2 linked regions of the Neurospora crassa OR74A genome follow. The protein of the gene in region 1 interacts with the protein of each later gene in a biochemical or structural test. Links are inferred from orthologs where the notes say so. Each region holds a gene or a part of one and is shown in the gene's direction. Other genes may lie near its edges.

Region 1 (4,483 bases):
GAGCGCTTGTCCAAGGACTGCTGAGTCTCGATATCGAAGGAAGTTGATCAACTCCTTAAGGACAACATTTCGCGCGCGGAAGGCCTGCTGCGGCCCCACAGGCCGGCCGGCCTTTGGTTTTCACAACGCTCATCGCTTCAAGCCGGTGCGCCCCAGTCGTCCCAGACATGACGCACTGGCCGGGCCACAGAGGCAAGAAAAACGAGTGGACGCCAAACGCCAGGGAATGGGACGCGGAAATCCAAGGACCAAGACGGGCGTTTCGACTCCGCCCGTTTGGCCATATCTACCCCACAAGCCCGGGGCATTTAATCACGGTTGCCGAGAAGCTGCCCCGTATCTGATACGTACCGAGGGGCTAAATCTTGGCTGATGAGCGTGATGGCGATGTGTCGATACGAAATGGTTTCCCGTTTTCAAAAAGTTCAATTATGCGAATACATAGCACGGTCCTATCGCGCCGAGCTTGAACACGCGAGGAGCATGAGCACCTCCCACCTCACTGTGCGCAGGAGGAGGGGTTGTCCCGGCCGTGATTGACGCGGGCAAGCAGAGATTGCGGCTGTGTTGTATGTAGATAGAGGTACTGTACTGACTGTCGAACAGAGACCACAGAACACCGCAGAGGTTGCACGCAGACTCGTTCTCCAAGATGCCAGGCCAGATCAGGATCGGAACCTGGAATGCCCTCGAGTTGACGTCTACATTGGAATCGAATCAAGCTGACGGCGTCAAGCAAGGTCCAGAGCGGGTGTTGGAAGCAACCTCGACGACATGATGCCAAAGTCAAGAGGAAACGAGGGGAAAAGGTTGAAGAGGTGGTGGCGCCCTGGTCCCTGTCAGTCTCCCGTGCAGAGTGTCCCCGCCATCGCCGTTCCGTTGCCGCCGGCGGTTGAACAAAAAAGTGGGCAGGTGAACTGATGGAACTTGAAGCCTCTCACAGGCGCCTTTTCGTGGTGTTGTAGTGGTAGCAGTGGCAGCAGTGGTCGAAAGTGGCTCTCTTCAACTGCAATGGCACTGCACCAGGCAGTCTAGGTAGTCCCACTCTCCCGTCCCCCACCCGTCCCCACCTGCCCTGTCTGGCAGAGGGGACGGGACTGAGATGTAGAACTAGAGGTAGGTAGTGTAGTGTAGTGTAGACTTCAGTTGCTTCCCAGAAGGCCGGACACACTCCCGCTGTCTGTCTAGAAGCCGAAAAGTGCATGTGCTGCCCTCTTGTTGTGCGGTGCAGTGTGCAGATGCAGCAAGCAACAGCCGCCCGACAGCAGTCACGAAGCATTCGAAGGGAATAGGTAGACCTAAGACCGACACAACCTCAATCATAGTATGCTTCCCTGAACTTTGCGTCCGGGCTTCCTTGTCTCCAATTCTCATTTGGCATCTGCAGGCCGAGTGTCCCCGCCCCGCCCGCCGTCCGACCGTCAGCAACACCGGACGACAGCCAGACAACTTCAGACGACAGCAGCAGTAGCAGCCCAGCAGTAGCAGCCCAGCAGTAGCAGGAGCAGCAGCAGCATCGCCGCGCATAGCCGACACCCGTCCGCCATCTTGGGTTCACTCATTTGAGCCCGGCCAACAATAAGTCGATAACGAGTTTGACGAGATTCGTAAAATTCGACAACCCACAAACTGTCAACGGCCACACATCGACACCGACTCGTACAAAGTTGGACCACCATTGGACACACCCTGCCCAAAGCAAGCAATCCCCCGCGCCGCCCAACCAGTCACCCACTTTATCCAAGTCATCCAATCCCTCTCCAGTCTGCGCACTTGTAGCACCAGCACCATACTGCTTGGACTATGCCCGACCTTGCCCTGCTCAATCATCAATTGGGTGCCGTCCACAAGCTAACGTCTGCTCACCACTCTCAAAAGGTAGCCGGACCCTGACCTTCTGATAAGCATACTAAAAAGCTTCGAGATCCATCAAAAATAAATCGTCATTCAAATAGTCTAGAGAAAACAAGCGGAAAAGTGAAAAGCGCCAGCCTAGTCCGAGTTCCCACACAGCAGTAACAACAGAAAGCATCACCCCTTCTTCAACGTACCCAGTCCCCGCCAAACCCAGCATCGCCGGCGGTCCGGGGTCTGTCTTTTTTTCCTACCTTGTACCTTCAACTTGTACACAATCCCACCACAAACCAAAGCGCAATTTTCGACCGGCATCAAGCTTCCAGGATCCCGTCCCCCTTCAATTGTCGACTTTTTTGCTCTTGTCCGTTCTGTGTCTGTGATTCTGGCCTGCCAACTTATCCCGCCCGCCTCAATAACTGCTGCCACCCCCCCAATTCCCGTCTCTTCTCCCAAGTCTCGCCTTCTTTTGGTTGACCCGGCCCCCAGCCAAACCGTCCGCCAGTACCGTACGTTGAACATCTTCCTTGTCTTTTCTTATTCTTAGTTACCCCATCTCGTAGCCCTCGTGCCCTTCCCTACGCTAGGGTTGGGTTTCTCTCGCAGTGACCATGGACGGCCAGCTCTCCCTCCTCTCGCCCACCTCGTCCTCCTCCACTTCGCATAGTCGCAAAAGACTCACAAAGAAGCAACGCCCGCCATCCGCAAATCACCGCACTAGCTCCTCTTTCAATGTCGAATCGCTCCGTATTGACGCCCAATCTCTAGACAGCAAACGGAGCGCCTCCAGCCTGCGCCAGGGCCCCAACTGCAACCAAAGCCCATCTCTGGCCAGGACCGTATCCGTCCCAGTCTCCGTCCCTTCAAACGCGCCCGCCCACACCAAAGCCAGCGACCTCTCTCTGCCACGCTCCCACACCACTCGCTCTCAATCCGCAAATCGCCCTTACAATCCGACGCAGACAATACCAACCAACCGCTTTATCCTCTCGCCGGCCTCATCGTCGCAACCCCAAACTCAATCGCCGCCTTATCCCAGCGCTGTTGCCAGCACCACCGTTACTAGCTCCAGGAACAAGGACACATCCAAGCAGTACGACCCACTAGACTCCTGCATTGGATCCTTCGATCAAAACAAATTATCCACGGATGAACTGATTGGCGCTCCATTCGACGGCAACGCCATTCTCAGTCGAATCGAGGCAACAAAATTATCAGCCGCGCCCGCGCCCACGTCCACGACCACGATTGCGCACTCCAACAACATTTCTCCTCGTCGTGTCGCTCCTCCTCCTCCTCCTCCCCCGCCTGCTCTATCGCGCTCAAACACGGACTCCAAGGCTGCGAGATCTTCAAAACCGTCAAAGTCGCCCAAATCCACCATATCAAACAAGACCATGGGCGCATCTTCATTCCGCCACTCGGCGAGTTTCTCGTCGGCTGAACAACTTCCGCCAAGCGAAAAGCCGTCCAAGTCAGAGAGCAGCTCTTCGAGTAACAAGAGACACTCCGGTGATGGTAAAGAGTCCAGGGTGCCCGGTATGCTAAGGAAGAAGTCGGGCTTCTCCGGCTTCATGAACAGCTTAGTTGGGTCTCCGAAAAAGCCATTGATTTCGGCGCCAGAGAACCCCGTTCACGTCACACACGTCGGATATGATAGCAATACTGGCCAGTTCACGGTATGTTGCCATGCCATGTCAACTAGTCTGAATGTTATGGATGGACTAATACGTTGATAGGGTTTGCCAAAAGAGTGGCAGCGTTTGATAAGCGAGAGTGGAATCACTGAGAAGGACAGAAGAGAACACCCACAAATACTGGTCGATGTCCTCACATTTTACAAGGAGACAACCGAGAAGCCACAGGAAGATCAACAGCTAGAGAAGTTCCACGATGCACGAGCGACAGATTTTCGCAGCCCGCCCGTGACCGGCACCGCTCCGCTCGTACTGCAAACAGGCGTTGGCTACGCTCATGGTCCCATGTCGCCAATGATTAGTCCACCCGCTAGTCCTAGGTTTCCTCAAGTTGGTCATGAGGGCAGCTTTGAGAACCCCCGTGCGCCGCCGCCGGTTCCCAAGGGCCCTGGCCCTCTTCCAGCAAAGGATATCAACTTGATCCCCAGCAGACCGGCACCGAAGCCACCAGCAATATCCACACGACCGCTGGTGCCGCCAGCCTCATTGCCAGCCAAGGATTCAGGAATTGGCATGCCACCGCCCGGTGATGAGGCTCCGATGCCGTACCTCCCTCCCAAGGATAATGTCCAGCATATGTACCAGGAGGAGCACAGGAACAGGTCCAGATCGAATTCCCGGACAAACGGCGCTGCCCCGTTCTCTCCCGTGCAGGCGTCCCCACTGCATCCGATCGCCACGGCGAACCAGACTGCGGCTTATCAGCAGCAATTGTTGCAACACCAGCAAGAACAGGCCATGGCCCAAGCCCAGGCAGCAATGAGCGGTCAACTGAGCCGAGCTGCAAGCAAGAGACAACAACCAACTCCGCCCACCTCACAACACCAACACCCCCGGCAGCCAGACATCAATGGGGCTCCTCGTATGCCACAGACTCAGGGGGCGGCTCCCCAAGCTAGCGCGAGACCCCGTCACAGACCGCGGCAAAGTAA
Region 2 (2,546 bases), on another chromosome or scaffold:
GATTCCCGTCATCGCCAAGTCGGATACTCTCACCGATGACGAGATTGCTGCTTTCAAGGCTAGAGTATGTCTTCGGGCCCTACTGGTTCTGCGATCAATACTAACAGTTTATCATAGATTCTTGCGGATATCAAGTACCACAAGGTGCAAATCTTTGAGGGCCCTCGCTACGAACTCGACGATGAGGAGACCATCGCGGAGAACAACGAGATCATGTCCAAGGTCCCCTTCGCTGTTGTCGGTGCGACCAACGAGATCACAAACGCCGATGGCCGTAAGGTTCGCGGTCGCCGTTACCCTTGGGGTGTGATCGAGGTGGACAATGAGGAGCATTGCGACTTTGTGAAGCTCCGCCAGATGCTCATCCGTACTCACATGGAGGAGCTCAAGGAGCACACCAACAACGTCCTTTACGAGAACTACCGCACGGACAAGTTGATCGCTATGGGCGTCTCTCAAGATCCAAGCGTCTTCAAGGAGGTGAACCCAGCCGTCAAGCAGGAGGAAGAGCGCGCCCTCCACGAACAGAAGCTTGCGAAGATGGAAGCCGAAATGAAGATGGTCTTCCAGCAAAAGGTTGCTGAAAAGGAATCCAAGCTGAAGCAGAGCGAAGAGGAGCTGTATGCTCGTCATAGGGAGATGAAGGAGCAGCTGGAGCGCCAACGACTGGAGCTCGAGGAGAAGAAGTCCCGAATCGAAAGTGGGCGGCCAATTGAGAAGGAGCCGACAAAGAGGAAGGGATTTTCTCTCCGATAATTTTGCGGCAACAACTTCACCCGCCTCTCACGACTGTTGTACTGTCATGTTATCCCGCATACACCTCGGCCTGCCGCTTCATTCCTTCATTCTCTGTTTTCCATTTGTTCATCTTCTAATCATAACCTCCTAATCCTGCGGGAGGATCCCCTCGCAAGCCAACAGTCTCTTTGCAGATCCCTTCATAACCGGATGGGTTTCTGTTAGAAATTTGTTGGCTGCCGTAAACGGTCAAATTTCCAAAAGCCGGTGTGTTCCGTCGTTGGGACGGGGTGCGGTCCGGTCGACTTTGTTCTTGAAAAGCTAATGCAGATGTAATTGGGCCGGAGGAGCTTTTTCGAGAATCTCTTACTTCACAATGGCAGCATGGTTCCAACAGATATATCCTCTTATCTGCTTTAGGGAGTTGAGTTCCGAAAATATGAGGGAGAAGAAAGAGAGATAATTCGTTGGCTGTTCCCCATCAGATGTTTGCGGCGCAGCAGCAATCAGGCCCTCAACTCCCTTTCGCGGCTCTGCTTGCCCTTGTCTTCTTGACCGACTGTCGGCAACATCATGTTTCCGGCTGCCACCATGACTGACAAGTCGGTTAGGATGCTGTGGCTGGCGGGAGCGAGGAGCAATTCACAACCGAGAAGCTCATAGAGGGATCAGAAGGAGTCGGGTTTGAATTGTGCTCGCGACGTTGCACCATATGCAAGTTGCAAAGGGGGCGTAAGGGAACAGGCGGGAAATCTCACTTGGACGAAAAGCAACGAACGACCAGATATCCCAACAACACATGTATTTTATTAACTGCTTTCATCGGCGATCAGATGTTTTTATTTCACGGGGAATTCTTGTAGGAGGTTTTTCTTTTCACGGTTTACGGTCGGTCATACCCAACCCAACATTTCCGGCCGATTCTCTCAACTGGTGCTTCGCTCTCCAGCCACGGAGGGTTCTTGCTTACCACATAAAACATACACACACTCAACGTACACTTAGCCTCTCCTAGATAGTTATTTCTTAGCCTTTTTCTCTCTCGCGCTCTCAAGGCGAATTTTGCCGTCTTCCTCAGTGATAAGTGTTTACCTTTGCACTGCTCCTCTCGATCGACAATGCTATGATTGGCAATTTTACTATATAAGCACTGAGCTTTCAGAGAGGAGACCGTAGGTGTCTCGGTGGTTCTCATCTGTCTCATGACTTTCTTACGCAAAGAAGAAGGAAATTTGTCTATGCCCCTCTTTATATCCATTTAGTTAATAGTGGTAATGATACATGTAGCGTACATCGATGCCGAAGGGGGCGAACTGAATGAGTCTGCAACAGATTGTTCGGGTATTGAGGAACGAACAAACTGTTACGCGCAATGTGCCCAAAATACGTATGAAGTCAACTCATCTCATGCATGATCCATCCCCGTCTCCTTTTTCTCCGGGAATCGCGAGATTTGCCGCCCACTTCGCAGCTTTCTCATCGAGACCGAACCCGATTTCCAACGCATGGTCCAACTGAAGCCGCAGCAGGTGCAGAGTATCACATCATCCGAGGTTGCCTTGAAGATGCAACAAGCACAATAGAGCGTACCCGCGACATGCAAAAAACTGGGTGCGCGCGACTCTAATCGTCCATTGGCGAATTCTACCGCTCTGAGACGGCAGAGAGTGACTGCCGTTCCTCCCTCCATCTCCCCTTTTCATTCCCTCGCTCCTAACTAGACCTCCTTTAACCTCTCCGTAAGTACCAGTTGAACGCGAGTTGGTTGATAGTGGGGGAGAAAGGCGACGGTACTTCGGACTCGCCCG

What was found.
Region 2: of the proteins of stk-4 (region 1) and NCU08297, one has a biochemical effect on the other in vitro, tested with the Saccharomyces cerevisiae proteins (2 studies listed by BioGRID). The link is inferred for Neurospora crassa OR74A from reciprocal best matches to the Saccharomyces cerevisiae genes STE20 and CDC3.

The regions. Positions count from the first base shown.
Region 1 is NC_026506.1:2,078,802-2,083,284, reverse strand, and holds the start of stk-4 (serine/threonine-protein kinase ste-20, variant 1), read left to right. Parts: upstream 1-1,674; 5' UTR 1,675-1,698; intron 1,699-1,805; exon of another isoform or gene 1,806-1,882; 5' UTR 1,883-2,465; coding exon 2,466-3,533; intron 3,534-3,593; coding exon 3,594-4,483. Other genes in the region: NCU03895 (hypothetical protein), read right to left, coding at 430-701, 1,071-1,110, 1,461-1,547. UniProt on the Saccharomyces cerevisiae protein: MAP4K component of the MAPK pathway required for the mating pheromone response, haploid invasive growth and diploid pseudohyphal development. Links the pheromone response G-protein beta gamma subunits to downstream signaling components.
Region 2 is NC_026504.1:2,500,355-2,502,900, forward strand, and holds the end of NCU08297 (cell division control protein 3), read left to right. Parts: coding exon 1-64; intron 65-117; coding exon 118-756; 3' UTR 757-1,948; downstream 1,949-2,546. Other genes in the region: NCU08296 (mito ribosomal protein S4), read right to left, coding at 2,467-2,546. UniProt on the Saccharomyces cerevisiae protein: Septins are GTPases involved in cytokinesis that assemble early in the cell cycle as a patch at the incipient bud site and form a ring approximate 15 minutes before bud emergence, which transforms into an hour-glass shaped collar of cortical filaments that spans both sides of the mother-bud neck.